3 linked regions of the Chlamydomonas reinhardtii genome follow. The protein of the gene in region 1 binds, or shares a complex with, the protein of each later gene. Links are inferred from orthologs where the notes say so. Each region holds a gene or a part of one and is shown in the gene's direction. Other genes may lie near its edges.

Region 1 (7,214 bases):
CAGTGTGAGCTGCACCAGGCTGCACCAAGGCATTGCCGTGTTGAGGCGCTAGTGCTAGGGAACCTGGCGTTACCTGACTTACGGGGATGGTAAAGTTGTTTGTTGGGGGTGACATGCGTGGTTTGGGAGGACATAACATGGTATGTGGACGGAGGGGTGGTGCCGACAGGACACCACCGGCATTGGAGTTCGGAGAAACGGTCACAGAGGTAACTAAGTGGATGCCATGCTGCCTCCCTTTCTTCATGCACCTCAGCATTCACGGCAAATTAATCTGCATCCAGTCCTGTCAGACCGAGCAGAACGGGGGCGTGCATGCGGCCTAGGTCGGGCTGTAACCGTGCTGATGCGGCCGGAACACTTTGTACAGTGAAGCGGACGCCGGATGAGCTGCACGTGAGCCAACTTTGTCAAATGTTAGATTCTGGGGTCTGGGCTCTGAGCGAGTAATCCAATAGCTGGGGAGGGGCGCAGGTACCAGATTGCTCCCTGGTGCAGCACCTATGGCTGAGGCCCGCGCGCTGCCACGATTCGCTTGGCCACAGGCGCTGGGTGTCTGTCGACTGGTCGAGTGGCATACGGTGACAGTGCCATCCCACCCGCAAGTCCACGAATCCAGTGCTGCACACACGTCTTGTGTGGCCAGTCACTCACGCCGGACACACCGCATCGCCAACATCCGCCTAACAGCGGCGCTAATCTGCGGCCCTGGTCAGCAGTACCGGGCCCCAATACAACCCCTACTAGTCCATGTAACTGTACTCGTCCATGGAAACCCTCGTCAACCTTTTAATCCACTATGCGGTAGTGCGCGTCCACTACTGGGGGTTCCCTAGGCGCATGCCCCAATTGCATCGTCGTCTACGGTTGACATCTTGCTTAGCCCGAAAGACGATGCGCCTAAACCTGCCCGTTTCCCATCACTGTGCGCACTGCAGTTCACACCGCCTGCGTCCTCACTTCGTCACACCGTCACTCATACGCCTAACCACTGCACATCTCCTGTCCCTGCCCGCTCGTTGTGGCACGTCGCTCGGCTGCCGCACCTTGCACGCCCGCGGCGGCCACCCCGACCTCCCACACGCCGCCATAAGTCCACCACTACCCATGCCCCATGCCCTTGAACTTAACCCCCACACCCCTATGACTATACGCTAACAGTGCACTGCTTGCGACACAGACTTCTACTTTGCCATGACGTAGAGGATGGTGAACAGCACGCAGGCGGCGATGACGCCCGCCAGCACCAGCGTGTCCTTGGACTTCTTCCGCCGAATGGCGTTGAGCAGCCCGTTCACCACGGGGAAGCGCGACCCCACCTGCACCAGCTTGTCTAGCGCGCCCTCGAACACGCGCCGCTGCCCCAGCAGGTTGCCGCTCACGTTGGCGGCCTGGGACAGGATGTCGTCCACCTGCGTGTGGAGCGGCACAGGGCGCACGATGCCAGGCGCACCGGCACCGGTTAGTTGCGCTGTTTAGTCGCAGGTGCAGTCGTCACGGCCGCACCGTGTGGTCAGCACCTGGTAAGCGCCAGGAAGCTACTGCGGTCAGGCACTCGAGCCCGACCGCAGCACCCGATGGGTGGTGCCCCAGCCCACAGCAGCGGAGCAGGAGTGCGGCCCGCCTCTAGCCAGTTTCAGCCTGGTCGCGTCAGGTGCTCACCATGTTGGCCGAGTTCTGGATGGCGCCGCGTTCCCGCAGCAGCGCCCCCGACGAGTTCTGGACCTGCGCAGACCCCAACCACGCAAGCAGCAGGAAGATTGAGACGCAGCTTCAAGACCAACTTGCATGCGTTGCCCAATCTGAGGCATACGTCGCGACGCCCATTAGCAGCGTCGCAACAGCCTCATGCTCCGTGCCCCACCCGCCGGTTCAGTATCCCGCCCGCCGGCAGTCCCTGCAGCGCCAGCTGAGGCCAACTCAAGCCCCGGATCACCCCCGTGCGCCACGGCCTCACGTTCACGCTGAGGTGCGGGCTGTCCGAGGCGCCCGCCAACAGCTTGACGCGGTCCAGCGCCGCGCCCAGCGTCGAGTTCACCTTGCGGAACTCCTGCAGGGCGAAAATGAATGGACCCGGGCACCAAAGCAGACACACAGGGAAACGATAACCACCAGTGTTAGCGTCGCATGGTTTGTGGGCATCGCAGAAGTCGGACGCGGGAGAAGCTCGGCGCAACACATGGTGGTGGCGAGGTCGAGGCTGATGCTGGTGTAGGACCGCTGGTTCTGCCTGCAGGAGGGCTGCACGCGACAACCCCTGGGCAGCCGGGCGCGCGGTCCCTCTTCATGGGCAAATTGATACTGCTCCACACACCTGCGTGAACTCCTGCAGTATGTCACGGTGGCGTGCGAGCGTGTGGGAACGCGAGTCCGTGCTGCCGCCTACGATGGCAGCCATCTCATCGTTGATGTCCGACAGCCGTTGCAGCAGGTCCTCGACTTCTGCAGCTTTCGTCTGGGCGAGCTGCTGGGGCATTCGGGGGCATTGACGGTATGGGGTTCATTGTTAGCAGGGGTGCATCGCACAGGGCAACGCACCGAGTGCCATACGCACAGGTGTGCCGATGGGTATCCCCCTCACCTGGTCTGCCCCGAGCGAGTTATCTGCCGTGTTTAGCTTGTAGCTGGCCTCAAAGCTGGAGCACAGCTTGGTGAAAGCCGCGAGTTTCACATCGAGCTCGCCTTCTAGCCGGCGTGCCTGCAGTGGCAGCGATACTGATGTTGTGCATCCGCGAAACGAGACCGAGACCCACGCCCACACCCCGCACCTCCTTGCGCAGGTCCTCCCATACGCGTGTTTGGCCGGGCGGGCGCGCGGGGGCAGGACTGCTGGAAAGGGAGCGAGCACAGGAAACAGAAGTTGGTCGCTGCTCTGGACTCGTAACTCAGCGGGGTTGCAAGCTAATGCCACGCACCGGTAAGCCATGTATGCTGTAGCTACTCGTCCGGTGGATGGAACCTCCAATAAATAGGACATATGCAGTGCTCAAGGACTGAGCATGCTGGGTTCCGCTGTCTACAGTGCCCTAGCCCGGCTAGCTGGAGCCGGTAGAGCTTTTTGTGCAACGTATTGAACGTGTTGGGCAGCGCCAGAACCGTGCAGGCAGTTTGGCCAAATGTTCGCGGGCTTGTTGTGTCTACACGAAGCAGGGACACGTTGTTGCTAAGATGTAGGGTTCAAATAAACGTTAGAAAGACAAATATGATCGCGTGCTGGAGCATGCCGGTGCAGAATGTGTTTGCCCTCACGGCATGCCCCTCTGGCCCATGCTTTCCCCAGAAGCCAGCAAGACCTGGTCACTTCCATTATATACATATATGCTGCAAACCAGCCTGCATATATTTGTGCTGACCTAGCTCAAGACCAAACACAACCCTCAAGCAGATCTTTCGCCTTTGCGCCAATTTCTGTCGCTTCACTTCCGTAGTCGTCCTTCCTAGCCAGAAAGCAGCAGCAGGAGCCATGCTGCCACGGCCAACGAGTCACTCCAAGGCGCTAGGCCCGGGCGTGGCCGGCCCGGAGCTCGCGGTGGCCACCTCCGCGGTGCTGGACCGGCCCCCGCAGCCTGGCGCACACCTGCCGCTCAGCGGCGCCGCGCCCTGCGCCGTGGACCCCAGCTCGCTGAACGACCCCCGCCAGCACACCAAGTACCCCTACGTGACGGGCACGTCCGTGCTTGCCGTCAAGTACAAGGACGGCGTGCTGCTGGGCTGCGACACACTGGGCGCCTACGGCAGCACCAAGCGCTACAAGAGCACGCAGCGCCTGTACCGCGTGAACGACAAGTGCGTGGTGGCGGCGGGCGGCGAGATCAGCGACTTCCAGCACATCTCCAACCTGCTGGACGAGCTGACCACCGACGACTACCGCATTGACGACGGGATACAGCTGACGCCGCAGCAGGTGTACAGCTACCTGTGCCGCGTCATGTACAACCGGCGAAACAAGATGGACCCGCTGTGGAACTCGCTGGTGGTGGGCGGCGTGCAGCCGGACGGCAGCCAGTTCCTGGGCATGGTGGGCATGATCGGCACGCACTACACCGACAGCCACGTCACCACCGGCTTCGCCAACCAGCTGGCGCGGCCGCTGTTCCGCGAGCGGCAGCGGGATGACATGAGCGAGGAGGAGGCGCTCAACCTGCTGTACGACGCCATGCGGGTGAGGAGCAGGCAGCAGCATGGGGCGCGGCGGGAGAAGGGCAGGGGGGTAAGGGCGGTGGGGGGACGGAGGTTGGAAGAGGAGGAGTGGCAGCCGGCACAGGCAGGGGCGCGTGAGGCGGGGAGGGCGGCGGCGGCGCGGCAGAAGGTTGCAGGGCTGCTGTGGGAAAGAGCGCGGCTACACGGGAGGACGGGCGGGTTAGAACGGTGGCAAGGGCGCTATGCACGCTGTGCAGTGTGGTGGGCTGCACGGATGACGGATGCGGACGTTTTGACGGCGGGCGTCCACATCACCACACTTCCGCCAGGCTCCCATTGTGCGTCTCCATCGCACTGCTGTCACCTCCCCCTCTCCCCCTCACGCACGCAATCTCAGCCGTTGCCGCCATTTGCGCCTTTGCCCTCATCCCATCCCGCCGCTGTGTCTACAGGTGTGCTACTACCGCGACAAGGTGTCCATCAACAAGTTCCAGGTGGCCAAGGTCACCACTGCCGGTGGCGTCAGCATCTCCGAGCCCTTCGCGCTGGACATGCGCTGGGACTACAAGATGTTCTCCAACCCCACCAAGTGGGCCGTGGGCGCCTGGTAAAAGGCCGGCGGCAGAGGCAGCGGAAGCGCTGGCCGCGGCGGCGGCAGCGGAGGTGTAGATGTGAAGGGCTACGGCGATGAGTGCGGTGAAGAGGACAAGGAGGACAGGAATGGCGTTGACATGAGTTCACGCAGGTAGGGCTGCGCGCGGTAGTGTTGCGTACTGTGGCGGGCATGTATAGGGTTGTGGAGGAAGGCGAGTTTCCCGACAGCGCCGGGCTGCGGGCGAGGTGGCTGTCAAGTCTTTTGGCTACGGTTCCGGCTTGGTGGTGCACACCTCAGTGGCAGGGCCGCCTGGAGCAGATTGCAACAGGTGCAGCAGGTATATCATGGTTACAGCACCGGACGCCCCTGAGTGGACCCCGCATGGCACCATGTGTGCACGTGCACGCTTGTAAACTAGACGCATGTCTTTGCCAGCTGCTCGCTCACTCCAAACTCGCTATCATACTGCCAGCATTTGGCTGAAGCAGCATCAGAGTACGCGTGCGTGTACGGCTGAGTCCTACATGCATCGCTTGCTCATGTTGCAGATCTGGCTGCACAACGTACTGTATTCATAATGTCCGCATTCCAAACTCAGCCTTCAGTTCACTCACTCACCGGTGGCTCACTAGCTGAACTGCAAGTTAAGCACCAACCCCACCACCTGCCGCCTGCAAGCAGCACCGGCACTGTCCCAGGCCATCAGAAACCCGCCTGCAGGCTCGCCCACGCCCGTCATCACCACCACACACGCCTAACGAAGTACACCCAACCTCTCTCACTTCGCCGCATCTGAGCTCGGCGCCTCCGAGGGCGCTGCCGCCGCCTCCTCTAGCCGCGCCCGCTTCGCCGGCTCCTGGGCCTGCGCTTGCCCGTCGGCCGTCCCCGCCGCCGTGGCGCCCACAACCGACGCGCCCTGCCCGCTGGCGGCCAGTCCGGGGCTGTTGGAGGGTAGGGGCGGCTGGACCACCGTAAGGTCGGCAAGGGTGCGCTTGGGCGGCGGCGCGGCAGAGCCGCCGGCCGCGGCACCGTCCGCAGGCTGGCCCTGCGCCGGCGCGGCCGCGGGCTGGAGGGTGATGCGCTTGGTACCCCGCCCCACCACACCCAGAGACACGGTGGCGGCGGCGGCGGCTGCGTTGGTCGGCGCCGCGAAGGAGCCAGAGGAGCCGCCGGCGGCGCCCGCCAGGGCAGCGGCACCGCCATTCGCCTTGATGAACGCTTGCCTGCGCGGGAAACCGGGACACACAGGTCGCACAGGTGAAGCGGGTTACCGTCTGAACGTGCTGTGAAAGCAGGAGCACCTACGGGCGACAGCCAGGTCTGCCAGAGTGTCGCCTGCAACGCCGGACCCACGCCATAAGTAGCGCAGCCCCTCTGCCCACAATCGCTCCGCGCAGGCCCATGCGAATGTAGCACAGCCCCCCCGCTCCCGGCCACAACTGCACTCTGGCCCCCGTCAGCCTCCGCCCACCCGACCCGCTGGCCCCACCTGAGCGCCTCCTTGAGTGAGTTGTTGTGCTTGATGGTGTCGCGCAGCCCCTCGCAGTTGTGGGTCAGCTCCGTCATGACCGCCCGCAGGTCGTCCGCGGTCTCCTGCAGCCGCCGGCCCTCCTCCTCCGCCTCCTCGCCGCCGCTGCCGTCCGTGGGCAGCGCCGCAAGCTTCTCCTCAATCTCGCCGGCCGCGGCCTGTGTGGGATATGCAGCGCGGGACGACGTGAGTGACCGGCGTTAGGCCCCCTTCACGAAAGCCCCTGCCTGAAAGGCGCATGATGTCCAGCACCCCGACTTCTCGTAACCCCTCTCCCTCCTTCCAGCCACCCGCACGCGCCTAGCTCGCCAGCCCCAGCGACAGCCCAGATGTGACCCGCCCCCCAAAGCCCCTCTGCCGCCCAGCCCCGCACCTCCAGCGAGCCGATGGCCTCCTCCGTCTGCGCCAGCGCCTGGTCCGGCTGCTCCATGAAGGTGAGCGACAGCGACAGCTTGTACTGCACCTCGGCGATGCGCCGCTTGCTGGGCGGCTGCATGGCCTTGAGGTGCGCGATGGACTGCCGGTAGCACTCGGCTGCATGGCAGAGCGGGAGGCGGCATCAGGGGGAAGGGGGCATCAGGGGGAGAGGGAGGGGCATAAGTGCGCGGAGAATAGTATGGGTGCAGTATAACGATGGGACGGCCGTCACACGGGGCAATCCGGATTGGCGCAGGCCTTGAGCACCGCCTGCACCGAAAACGCTCCTGATCGCCCACCCGGCCTCAGTCGACCCACCTCGCCTGGGCCCCGCTGAGCCCCGCACGCCCCTCAGCCCCGGCGCCCACCCACCCTCCCCAGCCACCACCCGCCAAGCCAGCCAGCCAGTCACTCTCACCCGCCTCCTCGAAGCGCTCCTCCTCCGACTTGATATCTCCGAGCGACTTGTGCACCTCGGCCAGCTTGCTGTGGTGCTGCTCGGGCGAGTTGCGGTCGTAGATGATGCGCGACAGC
Region 2 (3,999 bases), on another chromosome or scaffold:
CCATGTATGCCGGTTGACGCGCCTACATGCCGCGGCGGGAATGTCGAGGTCGCCCCAGTCCCGTAGGAGTGCCGAGAATCGGCGGGTTGTTAACTGTTCTAGGGGTTCAAGGTGAGGCTTGGGAATGCTTGGCAACAGAAGGCACGCGTGGATAGATGGCGTGTGGCATGCGCTCAGCTTGGCCATGCCTAGCTTCAAGCACGTCAATAGCTAGCTAGTACGCCCCAGCGCCGCTGGCCATGCCCGTGCCTCGCTTCCAGGGGTAGACGTGGGGCGTGGATGGCGTGTGGCGTGTGTGAAACACACCGTGGCCATGCCTAGCTGGTGGTGGCCCGAGCAGGTCCGAGCCCGTGCACGGCACCCCTGCTGCAACCCCACCGAATGCATTGTTCCTAACCGGCAATGCATACGGTATTGATGCAAAGGAGCGGGTTGCGCCATACGGGTGCCACCCAGCACCTTGCCCGGCACCAGCACCTTGCCCGGCGCCAGCAGCTGCCTGGCGCTCCTGGCAGCAGCGGGGGTCCAACTAACTACCGTACAGCTCTTACAGGCGGCGAGAGATGCCCCAACGCCGCGTCGATAGATGCGCTGCAAGTGAATCGCCCGGCAACTGGCATCCCATGGGTCGGGCGTGCATTGCGGGCCGTGACCCCCGAACTCCCCCCGGCTCCCGGTTTGGGCTGGTATCTACAACCCAGGGTAGTTGGCGAGATTTGGGGACCATATGCACGTCGTGCTCACCTCCTTGTAACCACACACACCAACAAAATATGCAGCCCGACGCGGCGGGAATGCATCCCCGGAAATGCCCAATCTTTCTCGCCCGAGGGCCTGCATTCGGGCCCGTTCCGTGCCGCTCCCCAAAGATGCAAGCAAGCCCTGTGAGTTCCATGGGCGCAGCGAGGGATGGTGCCGTTGCAAGCCGCGGACTGTCCCTTCGTGTAGCGTCGCACTCTTTCGTTCCCATCAATACAAGCAGCTAGGGGCCTGAGCGGGTGTCACTAGGGCCCTCGGCTCTCTGCAGAAGAAGAAGCAGACTGGGAGGCCCAGCTCCGGGCGCTCCGGTGCGGCAGCCTTGCAAAGGCCGGGGGCCAGGCGCGGGGGTGACGGCACCGTACGCGCGCATGGGGTGACCAGGGTTCGGCAGCTGGGCTTGTGCCTTGAATGGAGGAGACTCCACGACAGCACCACTTGTACCTATACATAACGAAAGCACTATCAAGCTCTACATCAAATCACACGTCGCGATAAATTTGAGCAGATCCCTCTCGTCATTCCATTTGCCTTCACCGTAAAACGAAAGCCATGGCTTCTACCGCTTCACCCTATCAACTAGGCAACCCCCTTAGCAAGGTTCAGGCGGACGCCGCGGACGGGCAAAGGCAACACGCAGCGTGGAGCCCGTAAGTGCACAGTTGGCAAATGCCTTGCAGATTCTAAAGCTAACAGTGCTCAATTTTCAATATGCAGATACGATGACAACGGCGGGTGAGCTCAAAGCTGCCAGTTCTCGCGCGAGGCCAGCAGATCCCGCGAACCCCTTCTGCTGCATTTCGTTTGCGGTGTTTGGTGCTGCGTTGGAGTGCGTGGAATGACGTTAGCCAATTCCTTGCAGAACCGTGGTTGCGGTGGCGGGAGAGGACTACTGCATCGTGGCCGCGAGCACGCGCATGTCCACCGGCTTCAGCATCCTCACGCGCGAGGCGACCATGATGCTGCAGCTGTGAGTGCGAGTGGGGGGGGGGGGCGATCGTAGAGGCGAGGAGATGAGATGAGGGGAGAGGCCGTGATGGAGTCTTTTAGAGTGTGGGGGGAAAGGGGGGGGACAGCGGGAATGCGTGTGCGTGTGCGCGGGTGTGTAGGGGAGGGAGGGGGGACGGCATTGAGAGGGTGGCAATTGGGGGTGCGGCCATAAGCTGGCTGGTGGTGCGTGTGTAGGTGGGTGCGTGGGGTGTTGCAGCAATGGCAGGGGGCCGCAATCAAGGCAGGTGGGGCGGGGGAGGGAGGGACTGATGCACGTCCGGAGGCTGGCGGGCGTCGTGTGTGGCAGGCGGTGAGGCTGCCGCAGCTGCAGGTGGCTTGTGCGGACGTGGCACGCCTGCAGGGTGGGAGGGAGGGGGGCCTGCAGGGAGGGAACGATGTTTGTGGGTCGGGGGGCGAGAAAGAGGGAGGGAGGGGGTTGACGGCAATTTGCCGTGTCGTGTTTGACTGAGCGTATTCACGGCCGCGTGCCTCGGTTCGTCCCACACAGCACGACCCAGCGCAGCGGTTCACTCATGCGAGTATCCGCAACGTGACACAGCACGACACGACACTTGTTTGTGCTTACAGACACTTTACCATTGAACGCGATGACACACTTTGTGAAAACACGCACGCACACACACAGGTCGGACAAGGTGGTGATCGCCAGCGCGGGCATGCAGGCGGACCGCAAGGCGCTGCACAAGCTGCTGCAGGTGTGGGCGGGTGATGGGTGGGGGGTTGGGGGGTGGGGTGCGTGTGTGTATGTGTGTGTTGGGGTGGTTGGTTGGGTGTGTGTTGGGGTGGGTGGGGTGGGTGGGTGGGTGAGGGGATGGTGTGTGTGTGTGTGTGTGTGTTGGGGTGTGTGGGTGGGTGTGTGGGTGGGTGTGTGGGTGTGGGTGGGTGGGTGGGTGGGGATGTGGTGTGTGGGTGGGGATGGGCGTGGTGGGGTAGGGGTTGTGTGGGGTGTTTAGGGCGGGGGTGGGTGCTCGGAAAGCACAGGGGGATAGGGTAGACTCTGCACGTGCGGCATGTGTGATGGTGGCGTGGGTTTGGGGTGGGTTTGGGGTGGGTTTGGGGTGGGGTGGGTTTGGGGTGGGGTGTGAGTAGGAGAGGGAGGGAGGGCAGGCCGTCACACTTCCCCACACCCACACCCCCACACACAGGCCCGGCACGTCATGTACGTGCACAACCACGGCCGCCCCATGTCGCTACCAGCCACAGCGCAGGTGAGGAGGGGAGGGGGGGGGGCTAGGGGGCTGGGGGGGGGGAGGGGGGGAATAGGGGGTCGCAAGGTTGAAAAAGGGTTGGGATCAGGATAAAGAAGCGGAATTATGGGGGGCGGGAAGGGTGGGGGGTGGGGTGGGGTGGTTTGCGGCGGTTCGGGTTGCGGTTGGGGAGGGCCCATGCTTTCGCCTTTGTGGTGTGGATGCGGATGTGTGGCTCCGGACGGTTGGAGCGGTTGGCTACTACCAGAACACACATCCGATCATGAATGTAACCCCTCCCCTGCCCCCTGCCCCCTCCATTCCATTCCTCACACAACCCCTCCATTCTCCACCCATCCCCCCACCCCCCACGCCCACACCCCCAAGCTGCTGTCCAACACGCTCTACTACAAGCGCTTCTTCCCCTTCTACACCTTCAACCTGTGCGCCGGGCTGGACGAGCAGGGTGAGGCGGAAACTGGGTTTAGATGGATGGATAGATAGGTGTATGGATGGATAGATAAATACGACGCATATGACGGACGTGTCTGTGTGGGGTGGGTGGGTGTGGATGTACGGAAGGGGCTTCAACTTGTGCGCGGGCCGGGATGAACAGGGTGAGGGGACTGGGGTTGCAGGTACCAGCCCAAACGCAACCGAACCCAATGCAGTAGAGGGAGGAGGAGAGCGTGGGGGCAGGGAGAGGGCGGAGGACACATGCAGGGGTGCGAAGCTTGGGGTTGGGCTGGCAGAGGGGATGAGGGGGGTCGGGATTTGGGGGGTGGGTGGAGGGAGGGATGGGTTAGGTGGGTGAGGGGAGTGGCAACACTGTGACTGTTGCGCTCGGCGGCGGCGGCGGCGGCGGCGGGGGCGGCGGCAGTGGGGATGTGGCCTGTCCACACGCACACGCACACGCACACATCTCCCCACCCAAGCACCTCCCCACACCCACTCCCATCTCCCGCTCCCACACCCACACCCACACACGCACCCACACACGCACACAGGCCGCGGAGCCGTGTACAACTACGACGCCATCGGCTCC
Region 3 (4,124 bases), on another chromosome or scaffold:
GCCATACCCACCGCCATGATAGCTACATACGGTCTGCATTTGAATCTACTGTGTGCAATTCATATTCTACCTAAACGGCCGGGCAGCATGACCAGTCCCGTCAGCACGAGCCCAGCCCGTCCCACACAGCTGTCGCAGCACGCCTGCCCCTCCCTTCCTAGGCGCTTCCCGGCCCGAACGCCTCCTCCCCATGCCCACGCACCGGAAAGTATCTTGAGAAGATTTCCGCCACTAGGAAGCCGTTCGCCACGTCCCTGCGGCCAGTCGGGAGCACAGGCGTTGGACTCACAGCGACTGGGGCCGGCAGGTAAGCACCGGCGAAGCTACGGCGCCGCGCCCAGCCCGCTGCAGCCCCGAGATGCCTTACCGCCTGCAGTTCTTCAGCGACTGCGACAAGTCCAGGCCTTGAACCCATTTCAAGACGTCGCGATGCAGGGCTGGCGTGTCGGGTGGAGACTCATATCCAAATAGCGTTGTGTCTTCTTGTCGTTGTAGCCTGTCTCGCCGCCCAGTGGTACTTGTTAGCGAGGTCGCGGTTTGGGACAACGTCGCCCGGTTGGTCATTCTGTCTTCGCAAAGCGCAGTCTTCAAGTGCACTGAGAAACGTTCTTATAAAGAGAAATTGATATGTGATATGCTGCTTTGTCGATTACAGCGCACTCGCCATCTTAGACTTGTCAACCTTAGAGTTTGTGATTGCGAAGCTTTGGTCAGTAATTTGAGGCCGCTGCCCCCACAACCTAGTACACCATGCAAAATTGCAGGTCTTATCGTGTGCTTGTGCGGTGTCTATTCAACTGGGGCCTTACAAAAACACACACGTGCCAACCTCCTGGCGCGAGCGGAATCTGCCCCTCGTCCCTCCCTGAATATTGTTCAGATGCAATGCAACACCGCTCAAGACAGGCACACTGCAATAGTTGTGTGCATTGCGATCGTTGATGTGCTGTCATGACCAGGCGTCATAATCGACCAGACCACCACCAGCCCTATACGCAAACGCTCATTCCCCCCGCTTAATCAACGTACATCCTACTTTGCAGATGTACCACCGACGTGAAGCCCATCCCCTGAATTCCCTGAACGCTTGGACATTCAGCGTGCGAAGCATGCCTGCAGTGACGGGAACACCCAAGAGCGGCCACACTGATGGACCCACGGGCGCAGAGTGTTATTCCAGGCTATCTTGGAAAAGCGGAGGGGGACTTGAAGGGCTTCGGGGGCTTTGGCGTGAGCAGTTGGCGTGGCACCTGGATGCGTGCCTGGATGAGCAGGGGGCTCTCGTGATGTCGAGACCGCAGGCGCATCCCCGGCAAACCGCGAACTTAGGCCACTACGCTTACATTGTTTTTGATACATAGGCTCTAGAAAACTGCTTGGGATAAATAACAAACACAGATCTTTGCCAGACTTTTGGCCCTGCTCGTTTGCTCTGCTGCTTTAATCCACTAACGTGTCCCTCCAGCTCAATACATCACCATGTCGCGGAGATATGATTCCCGCACAACGATTTTCAGCCCCGAGGGGCGCCTTTACCAAGTTGAGTATGCCATGGAGGCCATTTCCAACGCCGGTGCGTCCATTGGCCTGCTGGCGAAGGATGGAGTCGTCCTGATTGCGGAGAAGAAGATCACATCCAAGGTAACTAGGCGGGCTCGCATGGGATCGCGCCCAATTTCCAGGGCTGGCGCTAACTTGCATCGTCTTTCGGTCGCGTAGCTCCTAGACACGCACGCGGTGGGTGTGCGCCGAGAGAAGATGTACCGGATAGACAACCACATCGCCTGCTCGGTGGCGGGTATCACAGGTGGGGGCGGGTGGGGTCTGGCGGGTTCGCGTGCTGCGTGGGCTTGACCCAGTTGCAGATGCAGCATGGCCGTTGAGGTGGCATGTGCGACTGTTGTAGCGCAGGGTTACTGGCATCTGTGTATCTGCCGTTGTGGCATGCGGGAAGCTCTGGTTTCATTTCGACTCGGTTCTATTTGTGTGACGCTTGGTCAACACCGCGCTTCCACCGGCGGAGGACTGCGTGTCTGGCGAGCAATTGTCTCCGCCGATGTGGCTATGAAGGCCATCTGGATGGAAGCGTGGGGTCGGTGCGCATCTCCCGAAGACCCGAACTAACCAGCACTTTCCCCTTCACATTTCCCTTCACATTCCCCTGCCCCCTCCACCTCTTCCCCCTCTTCCTCTCCAGCCGACGCCAACATCCTGATCAACACGTGCCGCCTGGCCGCCCAGCGCTACCTGTTCGCCTACCAGGAGCCCATGCCGGTGGAGCAGCTGGTGCGCACCGTGTGCGACACCAAGCAGGTGAGAAACAACGGGCGGTGGCGGGGTGGGGAGGGGCGGGGGGATTCTTTGCCGAGCCCCGCGAATTAGTCCCGTCATCAGGGGGAGTGTTTGAGGATACGTTATATACACAATACTAGGGGTGGCGCCGCCGCACTGCACCAACCTGCTACCCGGCTTTTGCCCTGTTGGATTGCTGCCCGATGCGGCCTGAGCAGGACCTGACGACCCGTGTCCCTGCCGTTCCACCACCCCACCCCACCCCGCCCGGTGCTTTTACTCTGTTCCCGTTCCCTAACCGTGCAACCCCACCCCCACACAGGGGTACACCCAGTTTGGAGGGCAGCGGCCGTTCGGTGTGTCGCTGCTGTACGCTGGCTGGTGAGCGCACAGTGGGGGAGGGGGCGGGGCCTGGCCGTGTGTGGAGGCGCCGCTGGGGGAGGGGGGTTTGCAGCGTGCGGTGTGCACAGAGCGGAGGGCGTGTGACGGGCGGACGGCGTCGTGTGGACCGCGTGCAGGGGTCGGGGCGATGTGCTAGCTGCCCGGGTGCTAGGGCTGGAGTCTTGCGCGGGGGACCACGTGGCGTGAGCAGGCAGCAGGACGGCAACGGCCCATGACTGCTGGACCTGGCCTCACACACCCTACCCCGCAGGGACGAGCACTACGGCTTCCAGCTGTACCAGTCCGACCCCAGCGGCAACTACGGCGGCTGGAAGGCGGTGGCCATTGGCGCCGGACACCAGGCCGCCAACAACCTGCTCAAGAGCGACTTCAAGGTAAGGAGGGTGAGGGAGGGGGTTAGGAGCGGGCATGTAATCGCCCAACTAATCCTGTGTGCAGTCGAGTATCGTCCCACATGCATCGCCACCACCTGCTCACCAACCACATGTACCCCTCCCACCTCCCGCAGTCTACCTCATACAAAGTACCTCCCACCCTCCCGCTTGCCCTCCGCCAGTCCCGCGCTGCCTCTCGCTAACCTCGCAAGCCCCCCCTTCACTTCATACTTGTAACTTTAGCACTCCGTTCTCCACATGAACGGCTACCCCCCGCCCCCCCCCCCTGCAGGAGGACCTGCCCCTGTCTGAGGCCATCCCCTTCATCATCAAGGTGCTGGCCAAGTCCATGGACACCAGTCTGGCGCCCGACAAGGTGGAGCTGGCCACCATCAGCCGCGATGCAGCCAGCGGCAAGGTGAGGGAGGAGGACAGCGAGGGAGGGAGGGAGCGAGGGACGGAGAGAGGGCTGTGCTCACCATCCCCGGTTTTATACATGAGATGCGATGGGTATGTACGTGTCACGAGGTTTGCAACTGGGATGTGGGGCCTTGGTTTAGTGGCAAGGCGACAGGTTGGGTCGCCCCCCTACCTCGTGCCTCCATCGCTGAGGCTGGCAGCTCACATCCCACTGCCAACTCGCTCTCACTCCTGTCCCGCCCCTGTCCTGCCCCTCCCCCGCCTCCCCCTCATGCTTCAGGTGGTGTACAAGATCTATGACGCCCCCGAGCTGACGCCGCTGCTGGACGCAGCGAACGCCGAGAAGGAGGCGGCGGCGCAGAGCTGAGCGGGCTGAGCATGAGAAGGACGTGGCAGGAGTCGAGGGCACGAAGGAGAGGGGGGTCAGGCTGTGGTGACTGCAGGGCGGCGGGGAGGCTGGACTAAGCCGGTGCAATGTTTGGAGGGGTAGTGCGGTGATGCGCGGGAGTGTACAGGTTGGGTACCACGGTGGTTGCCCGGGCGGCGGGGCGCAGCCGTGTGTCCGTATGCTAGTACAGTATGCAGAAGTGTCATAGCAGCGGTGGTGGTGCGGTTGTGGTGGTAGTGAGGGTGCAC

The links. The genes of interacting proteins can lie anywhere in the genome.
Region 2: CHLRE_06g280850v5 (region 1) and CHLRE_26g756797v5 share a complex: the UniProt entries of both Arabidopsis thaliana proteins name them as parts of the 20S core complex. The link is inferred for Chlamydomonas reinhardtii from reciprocal best matches to the Arabidopsis thaliana genes PBG1 and PBF1.
Region 3: CHLRE_06g280850v5 (region 1) and CHLRE_10g418100v5 share a complex: the UniProt entries of both Arabidopsis thaliana proteins name them as parts of the 20S core complex. The link is inferred for Chlamydomonas reinhardtii from reciprocal best matches to the Arabidopsis thaliana genes PBG1 and PAC1.

What each region holds. Positions count from the first base shown.
Region 1 is NC_057009.1:5,091,091-5,098,304, reverse strand, and holds CHLRE_06g280850v5 (uncharacterized protein), read left to right. Parts: upstream 1-3,323; 5' UTR 3,324-3,463; coding exon 3,464-4,162; intron 4,163-4,592; coding exon 4,593-4,751; 3' UTR 4,752-5,160; downstream 5,161-7,214. Other genes in the region: CHLRE_06g280900v5 (uncharacterized protein), read right to left, coding at 1,185-1,412, 1,663-1,725, 1,958-2,050, 2,315-2,467, 2,582-2,698, 2,769-2,829, 2,916-2,977; CHLRE_06g280800v5 (uncharacterized protein), read right to left, coding at 5,514-5,958, 6,225-6,421, 6,637-6,797, 7,099-7,214. UniProt on the Arabidopsis thaliana protein: Non-catalytic component of the proteasome, a multicatalytic proteinase complex which is characterized by its ability to cleave peptides with Arg, Phe, Tyr, Leu, and Glu adjacent to the leaving group at neutral or slightly basic pH.
Region 2 is NW_025061539.1:25,766-29,764, reverse strand, and holds the start of CHLRE_26g756797v5 (uncharacterized protein), read left to right. Parts: upstream 1-1,199; 5' UTR 1,200-1,308; coding exon 1,309-1,406; intron 1,407-1,473; coding exon 1,474-1,491; intron 1,492-1,618; coding exon 1,619-1,726; intron 1,727-2,392; coding exon 2,393-2,462; intron 2,463-2,912; coding exon 2,913-2,975; intron 2,976-3,341; coding exon 3,342-3,420; intron 3,421-3,961; coding exon 3,962-3,999. UniProt on the Arabidopsis thaliana protein: Non-catalytic component of the proteasome, a multicatalytic proteinase complex which is characterized by its ability to cleave peptides with Arg, Phe, Tyr, Leu, and Glu adjacent to the leaving group at neutral or slightly basic pH.
Region 3 is NC_057013.1:78,077-82,200, reverse strand, and holds the start of CHLRE_10g418100v5 (uncharacterized protein), read left to right. Parts: upstream 1-1,324; 5' UTR 1,325-1,479; coding exon 1,480-1,641; intron 1,642-1,719; coding exon 1,720-1,807; intron 1,808-2,197; coding exon 2,198-2,313; intron 2,314-2,614; coding exon 2,615-2,673; intron 2,674-2,944; coding exon 2,945-3,068; intron 3,069-3,360; coding exon 3,361-3,486; intron 3,487-3,768; coding exon 3,769-3,855; 3' UTR 3,856-4,124. Other genes in the region: CHLRE_10g418150v5 (uncharacterized protein), read right to left, coding at 203-254, 368-564. UniProt on the Arabidopsis thaliana protein: The proteasome is a multicatalytic proteinase complex which is characterized by its ability to cleave peptides with Arg, Phe, Tyr, Leu, and Glu adjacent to the leaving group at neutral or slightly basic pH.